Linked DNA regions of Caenorhabditis elegans. The protein of the gene in region 2 interacts with the protein of the main gene of each other region in a pairwise test. Each region holds a gene or a part of one and is shown on either strand. Other genes may lie near its edges.

Region 1 (7,180 bases), on a different chromosome or scaffold from region 2:
AGACAGAGGGGTTTGAACGTTCGCGCGCGCATAAAATGACTGGTATGGTACTAGCATCTCAAAGACAGACTAGGTGCAACAGCTGCCCATTTCCCGCCCAAAATGTTGGCACTGTGCCAAATCGCGATAGAGACTGTGCTTCCCGCAGAGTGTACAGATGGTGACAACGGTATGGGGTGACTAGGTGGTACTAAAGGGGGATGAAGAGAAAAGGAAGAAAAAGGAGGAAGAAATTGGCGCAACATTTCTAACGACTGGAGAGAGTGGTGACTAAAGAGTTCGAAATATATATTCTGGAAGATATGTTAATTAAATAAATAGATAAGGACCGCCGCAAATATGAAAAAAAAAACTTAATATTTATTAAAAATTCCCCGTCTTTGTCATGGATGATTGCAAAGGTTTGATTTAATTTTGGCTCCTAGTTAATTAATTTTCAAGATTAAAAAGTAGCTCGAAAAACTATTAAAATTACGAAAAAACTCTGCTACATTAACTGCATAATCTGTTGGCACACGTCTTCTCCTCCGAACAGATGTGTGCCATCACACGATTGTGACCCGCCCCCCCCCCCCCCCATAACCGTGTGCATTGTTAGATTCGCGCAACCTCTGATGACGTCATCGGCGCAGGTCGAGCTCTTAGCATTACTTTCTGTGTTTGGTTTATCTGTCGTTCACGAAGGGGAAGAGGTCATCAAGGTGGCGTGGGGTCTCAACAAAAATGAAGCGAACACACCACCTGTTCGGAATCCATAGAAATTATGAGAATAAAGAGACAAAGTTCGAAATTCGCAAAAATTCGATATTTAAGAATTTGGAGAACAGGAGTGAAACCGCGGAAAAATGTGAAAATCACAGTTAAATGTCGGAAAACTCGAGAAAATTGAGAAAAAGTTATAAAACAAAAGCTACTGTTTTGCAGAGTCTCCTTTGAATATTATTTAGAACAAGTTTCGTTTTTTTTCTCAGCTTGAAGCTCCTTATTTAATTTTCGACAGAAGCCTGAAGAATTTAGAAGTGAACTTTTTTTTCAAGTTTAAAACAATTATCTAGAGCACGGACATTTAATAAAAATAAAAATCCCTTGTGATCATCAAAAATCTATTTTCTGATTTTTAAAGCATACCGAACGGTGAGTTTTCACTCTTATGCCACTTTTTAGGGAATCAAGTTGAGAAAATATGTTTAATTTTTAAACTCATCAACTTTTAAAAAACAGGAAAAATACAATTTTGGGAATGAAAGAGAAATAAAAAAATTAGATAGAAAAACTGTTTCTAGTTTGAATCGGCTACCGTACCCTTTGCAATGAATCGCTGCAAGACCCTTGCCTTCTGAGCGAAAATGTTCCTTTAATGTTCACATTTTTGTTTCTTTTGGGATTTTTTATTTACGTTTTGTACAAATTCAGTCCATTTCAAAGCAATTTCTGAATGATTCATCAGTAATTTTGAATTGTTTGATTTTATAGATATCCTATTTATCAGCGCAATTAGAATTTCGTATTCAAATTAGTTTTCATTTATCAATTCAACTCAATCTTCAGTTTCATTTTTAAAAAATCGTTCTACTCGTTTAACGCCCATTTAATGCTAATTTTCTACACATATTCCCCCTTTCACAGCTAGCTGCGCATGCGCAAATCCGTGCATGTTTGCGTGAGTGTGTTCGCACCGAAACCGGCGCGAACAGCTGATTGTTTGAATCCAAAACCTGATTTTCGCAATGTTTTTCCAATTTCCCCTCATGAATCCCAATAAACATTTGATATTTCAGTGATAAAGCAAGATTGCGAGTTGAGATGGACGTCTCAATGTTGCAATCACCACAAAAACGAATAAAAACTATTCAAAAACTGGCTGTTTCGAAAAAAGATGTTCATGATTTTAAAGATATTTTCGAGATGCTTGAAGAGCAAAAAGAGGTTTGTTTTGAGTTATTAGAATTTCCGAATTAGCAAGATTAAATATTTAATGATAATTTACAGAAGCGAAATATAAATATTATTCAATACGACTCGTTGGATGACCTGAGTGGAGATTGGAGCGAGTACACATTCTTTTGTGGAAACTTTGATTCTGACCTCTTTCGAACACTAACAAAACATCAGGAAACGCAAGCACTCTTTATTATTGGGGCGTCCGTGTTGAAAAATAAGCTACTGAAAAATGAGGTAAACTCGGCGCAAGGTCTCATCCAGTTTCACTGAAAAATTGCAGGATTTGATGACGTTGCGAGCTGCCCGACCACTCTACTGCGAGCTTATGAAAGATGTAACAATGAAGTTAGCAGCAGAAGTACCAAATAAGCGAGAACTCGTTGACTTGGTTCATTATATGGGCGGTAGTGTGAGGAAAGATGTAAGTTACCTACGATCCTGAAAGCTATAAAAATACAATAATTGAATTTCAGACAGTATCACGAACAAATGTGTTCATCGCAGCGAAAGTTGAAGCCAAAGTTCAGGTGAGTGCTATATATTTCGGACTATTTCTTTGGAAAAGCCCTACATTTTTTCCAAATTTGTGGCTGCTATGACATTCAAGTATAAAACAATTGTATTCTCTCATTTTTTCAGTCAATTTCACTAGTCGGTGTGCCTACGATGCGAGCAGATTGGGTCACAGAATGCTGGAAACATCGTGATGACTCGTATTTTGATGTGATGGAACCATGTTTTGTAAAAAATTCTCTCTATAAAAGTCATTTTCTCATCGCTTGCCAATTTTCAGGTAGATAAGCATAGACTTGGCGTATTTGAAGGACTCAGCCTATTCTTCCACGGCTTCAAACAAACTGAGATAGATGACATGCTCAGAAGCTTGGAGAATACAGGTGGAAAACTTGCTCCGAGTCCCACGTTGGCTACTCATGTTGTGTATAATCCTGATAATGACGAAGTTGAGACATTAGCAGTGTCTTCTAATCAAGTTCACGTCACTAAAGAGGTAATTCAAAGGATTTAAAAATCAATTTTCAAAAAAAGAAAATTAAATTAAATATTCATTTCTCAATTTACAGTGGTTCTGGGTAAGCCTGCACCGTGGTTGCTGTGCTATAGAGGATAACTTTGCTCTTCCAACTGGCAAACTTCACAGAAAACCACTGGAAAGCAGTAGTGTCAGTAGCCCGATTGGAAAATCTCTTCGCTCCCAAAATTCGAGATCTTTGTCATCAATGCGTGACTGTAGTGTTGAAGGACCAACTTCGTTGAACATGACACCAGACTACATATACTCGAATGATGATGTGGAGAACTCGTGCAAATCGCCACGTCAACCATCGAAACGGCTCAGAGTTTGTATGGAGATGGTGGAGACGGAGAAGAACTACTTGTCACTGTTGAAGCTTGTTGTCAAGGTTGGATATTGACTTATCGCGAGGTGCAAGCGCGCTCCACGGCTAAACGAAATAGCTCCGCCCATTAACGTTGGGTCTCGTTAGGTTTTGGCAAGAAAAACAGAAGTTTCCAAGAACTTTTAGCGTTTTTGGTTGTGTCTTCTGTTGCTTCCATGATTTTTGTGTCGAAACTGAAACTATTCGTTTTTCAACTAAAACAATAGAAAACATTACAAAAAGTTTTTAAAAAATGCTTGTAAACATAACAACTTACCTCTTTTTTTTGGTGCCAATTCCTAACGATACCCAACGTTTGGGGGCGGATCGTTTTTCATTTTGCCTTGGAGCGCACTTGCACATTGATTTCAAAAGTCTCCATTTTCTGATATGAATATTTTTGCAGTTCAAAGAAGCTCTGGAATGTGAGATCTCACACAACGAGTTCATGTCAAGATCCGATGTCGCCATGATGTTTGGAAAGCTGGATCCGATTCTCGAACTTCACGAAAGGATTTTCGCCAGACTGACAGTAATGTCAAACGAAGCGAATACACTTTTGACGGTCGTAAATGGAAAAAAGAACGATGATAAGAATCTGGACTTTGCACAAGTGTGGATTGATGCAAAAGAAGAAATGAAGAAGGCATATCCTCAGTACATCAACTCTTATGACACAATCAAACGGTTATTCGATAAACAGGATCGAGAGAATTCTAAATTTCACACATTTTGCAAGGCAAAAGAGAGTAATCCAGAGTTTCATCGGCTCAAGTTGACGGATTTGATGGTGAAACCAGTGCAACGTCTTCCAAGTGTCATTCTTTTACTCAAAGAAATGGCAAAGAAATCCGATTCAAAGCTGAAGAACAATGCTGAAGAGGCCGCAAAAGCGATTGACGAAGTTTTGAAGTGTGTACTTTCAACATAATTAAATTTTATTTTTCTAAATTCATTTGTTTTTCAGAACCGCCAACAAAACTCGTGAAAAGAATGACAACTTCATTTCCCATCTGAGCAAGTTCACTGACATTGAAAATGTTCCAGTAAGCGCGGAAATTTGTTGAACAGATGTTAAAATAATTTTTTTACAGCCAATTTTGGTGGCTGCCAATCGAATGTTCATACGAGAGTTGGTCGTTTCTCCGATTGCAAGTACGTCGCCAGGTCTACAGCAGTTTGCGAAAATGAAATTATTTTTATTTCATGACGTGCTAATTGTAAGAGAGTCTTTAAATAATTATTTTGAATAATAATTCTGAAATTTCAGATCACGAAAATACGCAGCGAGAAGAATACAATGCAACGTCTAGCTCGTCACGCGTCGTTTGCCAGTTTACATTCGAGACAGCGTCGCCCCTACAGGTACATTGACCAGATACAGTTGAACACGATGCGTAGTGCATTCCGAATTCGTGCTCCCGACGAGATTGCGAAGTGTCTGGAGTTGCAGCAGCAGAACGGAAGCACAAAGCCAAATGTGTTTGTATGGTGCCTGATTCATCGTGACGAGCAAGGTGGTGACATTGACACAGTCTTCGAATCGAATGATGATGAAGAGGTTCGAGATTTTCTCGACGATATTCATGTGAAGATCTTGAGTGATTGTGGGAGATTCTTCTACTCGTCGGATCCATCAGATATGAATGAGATCAACGATGCGATGGTTTCGGATATGACAACTCGATACTTTAGAAAGTAGGCTTATTTCAGGTTTCAAGTCTTTAGAAAAAATCAAAATTTCAGTCTTTGCGGAGCGAAACCACAATATGGACACGGCAGTCAGATGAACATTACGGTCAGTGAACGATCTACACAAAACGTGAGAAATGAAGTTTGATACATGAGTGGAGAAATTAAAATTGTCCACAGTGTTACACCTAACTTGAATGCTTATATATAAACTTTTATTACAGGAATGGTCACACAATGAGTCGTTTATGCCACCACCACAGTCACAGAGTCGAATGCGACGAGCGTTCAGTAATGCTCAACTCACACTTGCCACCACGCTGGGCTTTGGCAGAAATCAGAGTCGAAATAACTTGGGACAAATTAGTGCGTTTTTAGAAAATTTATTTTTTTTTCTTCTGAAATTGTATTTGATTCACTAATTTCAGACGAGAACACGACATTTCTGCAGTCTCCCAGAGTTTCGTGTGATCCAGCAGCTCTCGCAAACATGACGTCAGTCGGCGGATTGCCTGGATGCCAAAGCGAATCTGAATCGACGCCAAAGCGAGGAATTCGGTACGTCAATGCACCCCACAGATTTATCGGAGACAACACGTTTTCGAGATCTGTCCGAAAAGTCAATTTGAAGATCTACGGTTTCAGGATGTGGCACCGTGTCAACTAGAAATACTCGTAGTTTTATCGAAGAAAAACTTAACAATGATGCTCCTTTGTTGTCACGTTTTTCTTCGAGAAAACCACGAAAATTTCTAATTGGCACGGTGCCAGATCCTGAAGCCGTAGATCTTCACATTGTAGATATTCTTTTAGTAGATCTTCTTTTAGTAGATCTTCTTTTCGGCCGGATCTTGAAGGCGTGTTGCCTCATTCATTGACCATATTTTCCCATGAGTTAATGCCAAATTGACACTCTACATCTAACATATCCTGTTAGTTATTTCAGTTCTCGCCTCACCTCGACAACGTTCCTCGGCGGCCGACACAACATACTCGGACGAAACACGTCGATGCGCCGTCAGGCTACCGGATTTGCTCATTCGGAAAAGGAACTACCTCGCTCAAAAACATCTTCATATCGTGTCACCGATATCTGAAACTCCCCGCACCCGTGTAACTGATAACTCGAATCTCTCCTCCGACTGATAAATAATTCGTTCTCACTCTTTTCCGAGCTTCATACCTCCAGATGCTCACCGGTGTATTTTGATGGTTTATTTCTTGCTTGCTCTCAGCTCCCTCCCTCTTACATTTTTCATGTTTTCACCCGTAGTTTTTCATTTCGTTTTTGTAATTACAACAACCGAAACTACCGTAATCACCATCCACAACTACGACCAGATCCTTTGTATCATACTGATTTACCATTTACCACAGGTGTATTTTTCCCCCCAAATCGTCATTATCATCTTCCTGTCCCCGAGGCTTGTGTGACCATTGCTCCTTGACTTTTATTATTTCCCCGAAATCACTTGTATGCCATTCTTATCCGATACCCCTTTCCCCTTTTATTCTCACCATTCATTTGAATGGTCATTCCCCCACAGTAACGTTACGATTACTTTTTTCTTTTTTTTTGAAAATTCAAATTTTATTCTTGTTAGAAAATGCGATAGGGGGTTCAAATGAAATTACACCCTACTTGTCTTTAAGTCTTTGAACTCTCTAAAAACAAAGAAACAAAGATGAGATTAGTGAGAAAAAGGAAACATGGGCGGAGCCTTATAGATGGCCCCTGGAGATTTCATATCTTGGAGCACATGCCGCTTGGCTTTTATTCATTCATTCCGAAACACGTCTTGGCCAGGATCCTGCATATTAGTATATTTTAAATTCAGATTTTTAAATTTTTTTTATCTTCTTAAAATTCGAGCTAATTAATTGTGATTCAGAATCTGGAATACATCATTGAATGATCGATGAGCCAGAGGATATAATAGCAGTTGAAGATGAAGCCGAAAGAAGGTAGGTCTGAAAAGAAAAAATGATTCGAAAGCGAGAAAAAAGATGTGCGTCTTTAATAAGTACAATAACCCGCAGATTCCCGTTATTTCGATAATTTCTCGGATTTTTCCACACATTCTTGCTAGAAAAATATTTTTTGTTCAGAAACAAAACTGAAACTTCTGGTAAAAGTGAATAAAATCGAA
Region 2 (3,525 bases):
GCTCGAAATCTGTAATGAGAGGCCTACTCAACAAGAGAAGAAGTTCTAATTCCACTCGTCCAAATACACATATAACAAATCTAGACACAACTGAGCTGTCAAATGAATTCATGACATCGAATAGATCTAGAGTTTTCATTGGTTCATTCAAAAAAATCAAAGAGTATATCGATAAGCTGAAGAATGAAATGGAACAGTTGGATGATTTTATATCTGTTCTACGTTTTGTTATCATTAATAATGCCGAGAAGTTGAAGGGGAACAGTGAGTTTGCCGACTCACTCGGACGTCTCGCTCAAACTTTTGAAAGTTCTTTGACACGATTCATCTTCGCGTATCATTTCTCAAGTTCAGTTGCCTCGTTAACCGAAACACTCGAGTTTTGCAAAGGTAAAATGGAAAGACCTGTGCTCATTGAAGCTGATAATCCGAGGTTCGAGCAATATTCGCAAAATTTGTGCTATTCTTAGAATGTTTCCAGAGTTCGTGATGTATTTTCCAATATCGAATGCAAGTTGGTACGTCCTATCAGTGAAATTGCTAGTCTACTTCCGACCCAGGAGAGCACACTTGAGAATAATAATATAAGTCCCGCAATTGTCTCGGTAACTACTGAGTCTAAATTTTGAATTAATCTTTCATTCTTTCAGCAATATTTGACCGAATCAACACAAAAACTGAAGATACTAACCATGTTGATCAAAAAAGAAAGAGATGCAAGAGCGGCAGATAACGGTAGATCTGGACGGAGAGACAGTGAGTTGATATGAACTATAAACTCGGTATAAAATTTTTCTCAGAACCCCGCCGTGAACGCATTCTCGTCATAACACGAACGACGGAAACATGTATTCGTGTGATGATGTACCTGAGGCTGAAAATGCAAACTTTAGCTGTGAACCTTCGTTATAATATTCATAAAATTACAACGTATGTTCAATTCTAAATAGTGTCCTTTTTATTCCATATTTATTTTTTTGCAGATGCGACTCCGAAGAAGATGTGGAAAAACGAAACTTTGAGTTTCGCACGGGTAATCTCGATGTGCTTGTGATCGACTGGAGATCAATTCGCGCTGTTCACCGAGGCGCCGTCGACACTATCGTTATGTTTGATTCTCCGCATCCACTATATTTTCAAACAATTATGGAGACGGAGTTGCAGAACCTCGCTTCGATTATTGGAGTGAAACTGAAGTTATACATGATTATCGACCAGAATAAGGACTTTCGCCTCGTTCGCGAATATTTAAAGGTTCTTTTTCTTTCTCAAAATCGAAAGATTCAAACAATCATGATAATTTTTCAGTTTCTCGAATGCAACAAAACACGAGCGCCCACGTGGTTCCGCGATCTTTACCAAAAATACCTGGCGGATCGACAATCGAGAACAACTGCAGCTGTTGCAACTGCAACATCAGCTGTTCCTGTTTAAATATGTATTTTTCTTCCAACTTCTCAAAAATTATTTTCCCCATCTTTGTGCTGATTTATTTGTTTCTTTCCGTCCCATTCACACGATTCTTAATTTTACTGGTTTTAAACTTTTTGTATTTTGTTTTTTTTTGTAACATACAATGTTTTTTGAATTCGTGTTTCATATTTCTTGTTTTGAATCCTATGGTTACAGCTTCATTCAATTTATCTTTCAATATCTTATATGACCTATTTTAAATAATCATTTTTGATGATTTTTCGAATACTTTATTTATTTTGCAGTTTTACAGATTAATAGACGGGAAGTATGTCGCAGAACAGCGACACTTTTGATTCTGGACTCCAGATGGAAGTTCACAAGATGGCGGAAGCCGATAATTCGTCCGTTCAACAAAAATTCGATGCGATTCGCGATTATATTGGACGAAAAGGTATTTAAACCATTTTTTAAAATTAAAAATCTAGTTCTTTTCTAGAGACAACGATTATCCTCTGTGAGCACGACGATTCTCGCAAGATTAAGCTGACGCTGAACAAGCAGAGAATGGAATCGTCTATGTTTCTGACAGAAATGCCCGATGGTGGGATTCAAGAAAAGACAAAGTTCCATCGCAATGGACTCGCAGTTTGCAGCTACAATGCATTTGATGAAGTTGATTTGCCACTCGCGGACTCGGTATAACCTCTAAAAATCAGTAATTAGAAAGCAATCAACATATTTACAGTATATTTTCTACGGACTCCCGTCCAACGTGGAAGCTTTCCCGAGGATGCTCCATGGAATTGAAAAGTCGGCACACAAGGAAAACAAAATAGTTTTCATCGATATTGTCGTGTCGATTTTAGAGAAAATTCAAATTAAGGTCGTCAGCTTTGAACTTTACAATCGAAAGTGTACTGTGCCAACGTGGGTTGCTGAACTCGTCATGTAAGCTAAAAGAAAGATAATCGAGAAATTCACAATAAATCATTTGATTTCAGAACTTATTGTGCGCCAATTGAGGAACAGCAACAGCGTATTGAGGAAATCCGCCGAACTCGTGCTTCAGTTCCAGTTGCCATATCGGACGCAGCCAACGGATCTGCCGAGATGGTCCCTTCCAACACCACTGGATCTTCAGGATCGCCCATGTCGACCGCTCCAGTACCAGCCGCAAAGAAAGAGAAGGTCCAGTACGAAAGTATTCGTCAAATTCGCCCGAACGCCCAAGGAAGATACTTCGTTCCGGCAAGAATGATCAATATGGATATCGAAATGAGCAACGATGAGTACTCGCCGGATGAGAGCGAGAACGACGAGAATGAATATGACTACGAAAATGCTGCGCGTTACGATGATGGTTACGACGAAGGCCACGAATACTGCCAATAATTTCCCAAACCCAAAGCACATTTTATCCCCATTTTTACGGTTCCCCGCACTGGTTCTTATGTATTTCCTATTTATCTCAACTAGTTCCAAATAGTTTTAACTGCATTCCGGTATCATATAATTTACATGATTTTATGCAAAACTCGACGGTTTCCTCTTTTTTCGTGTATCTCGAATTCTAATTTATAATATTAATATCATGAAATGTTTTATCTGGAAATCACGAGCTCAAAGATTGGTTTCGACTTGCAAAAAACGGGGGCTTCTTCTTGGCGGGTTCAGATCTTGATTGAATGGTTCTTCAGTTGGTCTTCTGAAGTTGTTTCTTTTTGTTTTTAAATATGGAATTTCCTAACACTCACAAATTCGCAGATCGTCGTCGTTTTAATTGCGGAGAATTCGTACTCGCCAACGATTGTGTCCTCGACCTCCATTCTTGAACTCGATCAACAGCTTCCGTGAATGTCAAAGATTTTCCCATAGCCTGGAAATAAAGAAAAAATGATTTTTTAAATTAATAAATCACTTACCATACTGATAATTCCACACCAACCATTCGGATCAATCTTTTGTAGAGGCTTCCGAAGGTGCATGCAATAAATGTGCTCAAATCCAAGAACAATGACGCTGACGATCTGAAATTTTTAAGAACCAAATTTAAGGCTTATTTTCAAATGCTTACGATTCCACCGGCTAACAGCACAAATGCCGATAGAA

What was found. The genes of interacting proteins can lie anywhere in the genome.
Region 1: the proteins of hrde-2 (region 2) and ect-2 interact in a two-hybrid assay, tested with the Caenorhabditis elegans proteins (one large-scale study listed by BioGRID).

What each region holds. Positions count from the first base shown.
Region 1 is NC_003280.10:10,777,889-10,785,068, reverse strand, and holds ect-2 (Protein ECT2), read left to right. Parts: upstream 1-1,775; 5' UTR 1,776-1,803; coding exon 1,804-1,926; intron 1,927-1,989; coding exon 1,990-2,175; intron 2,176-2,221; coding exon 2,222-2,362; intron 2,363-2,414; coding exon 2,415-2,468; intron 2,469-2,580; coding exon 2,581-2,682; intron 2,683-2,734; coding exon 2,735-2,950; intron 2,951-3,023; coding exon 3,024-3,362; intron 3,363-3,744; coding exon 3,745-4,250; intron 4,251-4,305; coding exon 4,306-4,384; intron 4,385-4,432; coding exon 4,433-4,558; intron 4,559-4,608; coding exon 4,609-5,036; intron 5,037-5,084; coding exon 5,085-5,160; intron 5,161-5,254; coding exon 5,255-5,396; intron 5,397-5,458; coding exon 5,459-5,588; intron 5,589-5,976; coding exon 5,977-6,127; 3' UTR 6,128-6,680; downstream 6,681-7,180. Other genes in the region: mpz-1 (PDZ domain-containing protein), read left to right, coding at 6,943-6,995.
Region 2 is NC_003283.11:15,003,376-15,006,900, forward strand, and holds hrde-2 (Protein hrde-2), read left to right. Parts: upstream 1-1,724; 5' UTR 1,725-1,743; coding exon 1,744-1,867; intron 1,868-1,912; coding exon 1,913-2,112; intron 2,113-2,161; coding exon 2,162-2,364; intron 2,365-2,417; coding exon 2,418-2,808; 3' UTR 2,809-3,025; downstream 3,026-3,525. Other genes in the region: mut-15 (MUTator), read left to right, coding at 1-433, 482-605, 651-756, 801-930, 984-1,254, 1,309-1,434; nmr-2 (PBPe domain-containing protein), read right to left, coding at 3,037-3,121, 3,171-3,292, 3,339-3,443, 3,491-3,525. UniProt on the Caenorhabditis elegans protein: Plays a role in germline RNA interference (RNAi), and in particular is required for piwi-interacting RNA (piRNA) gene silencing.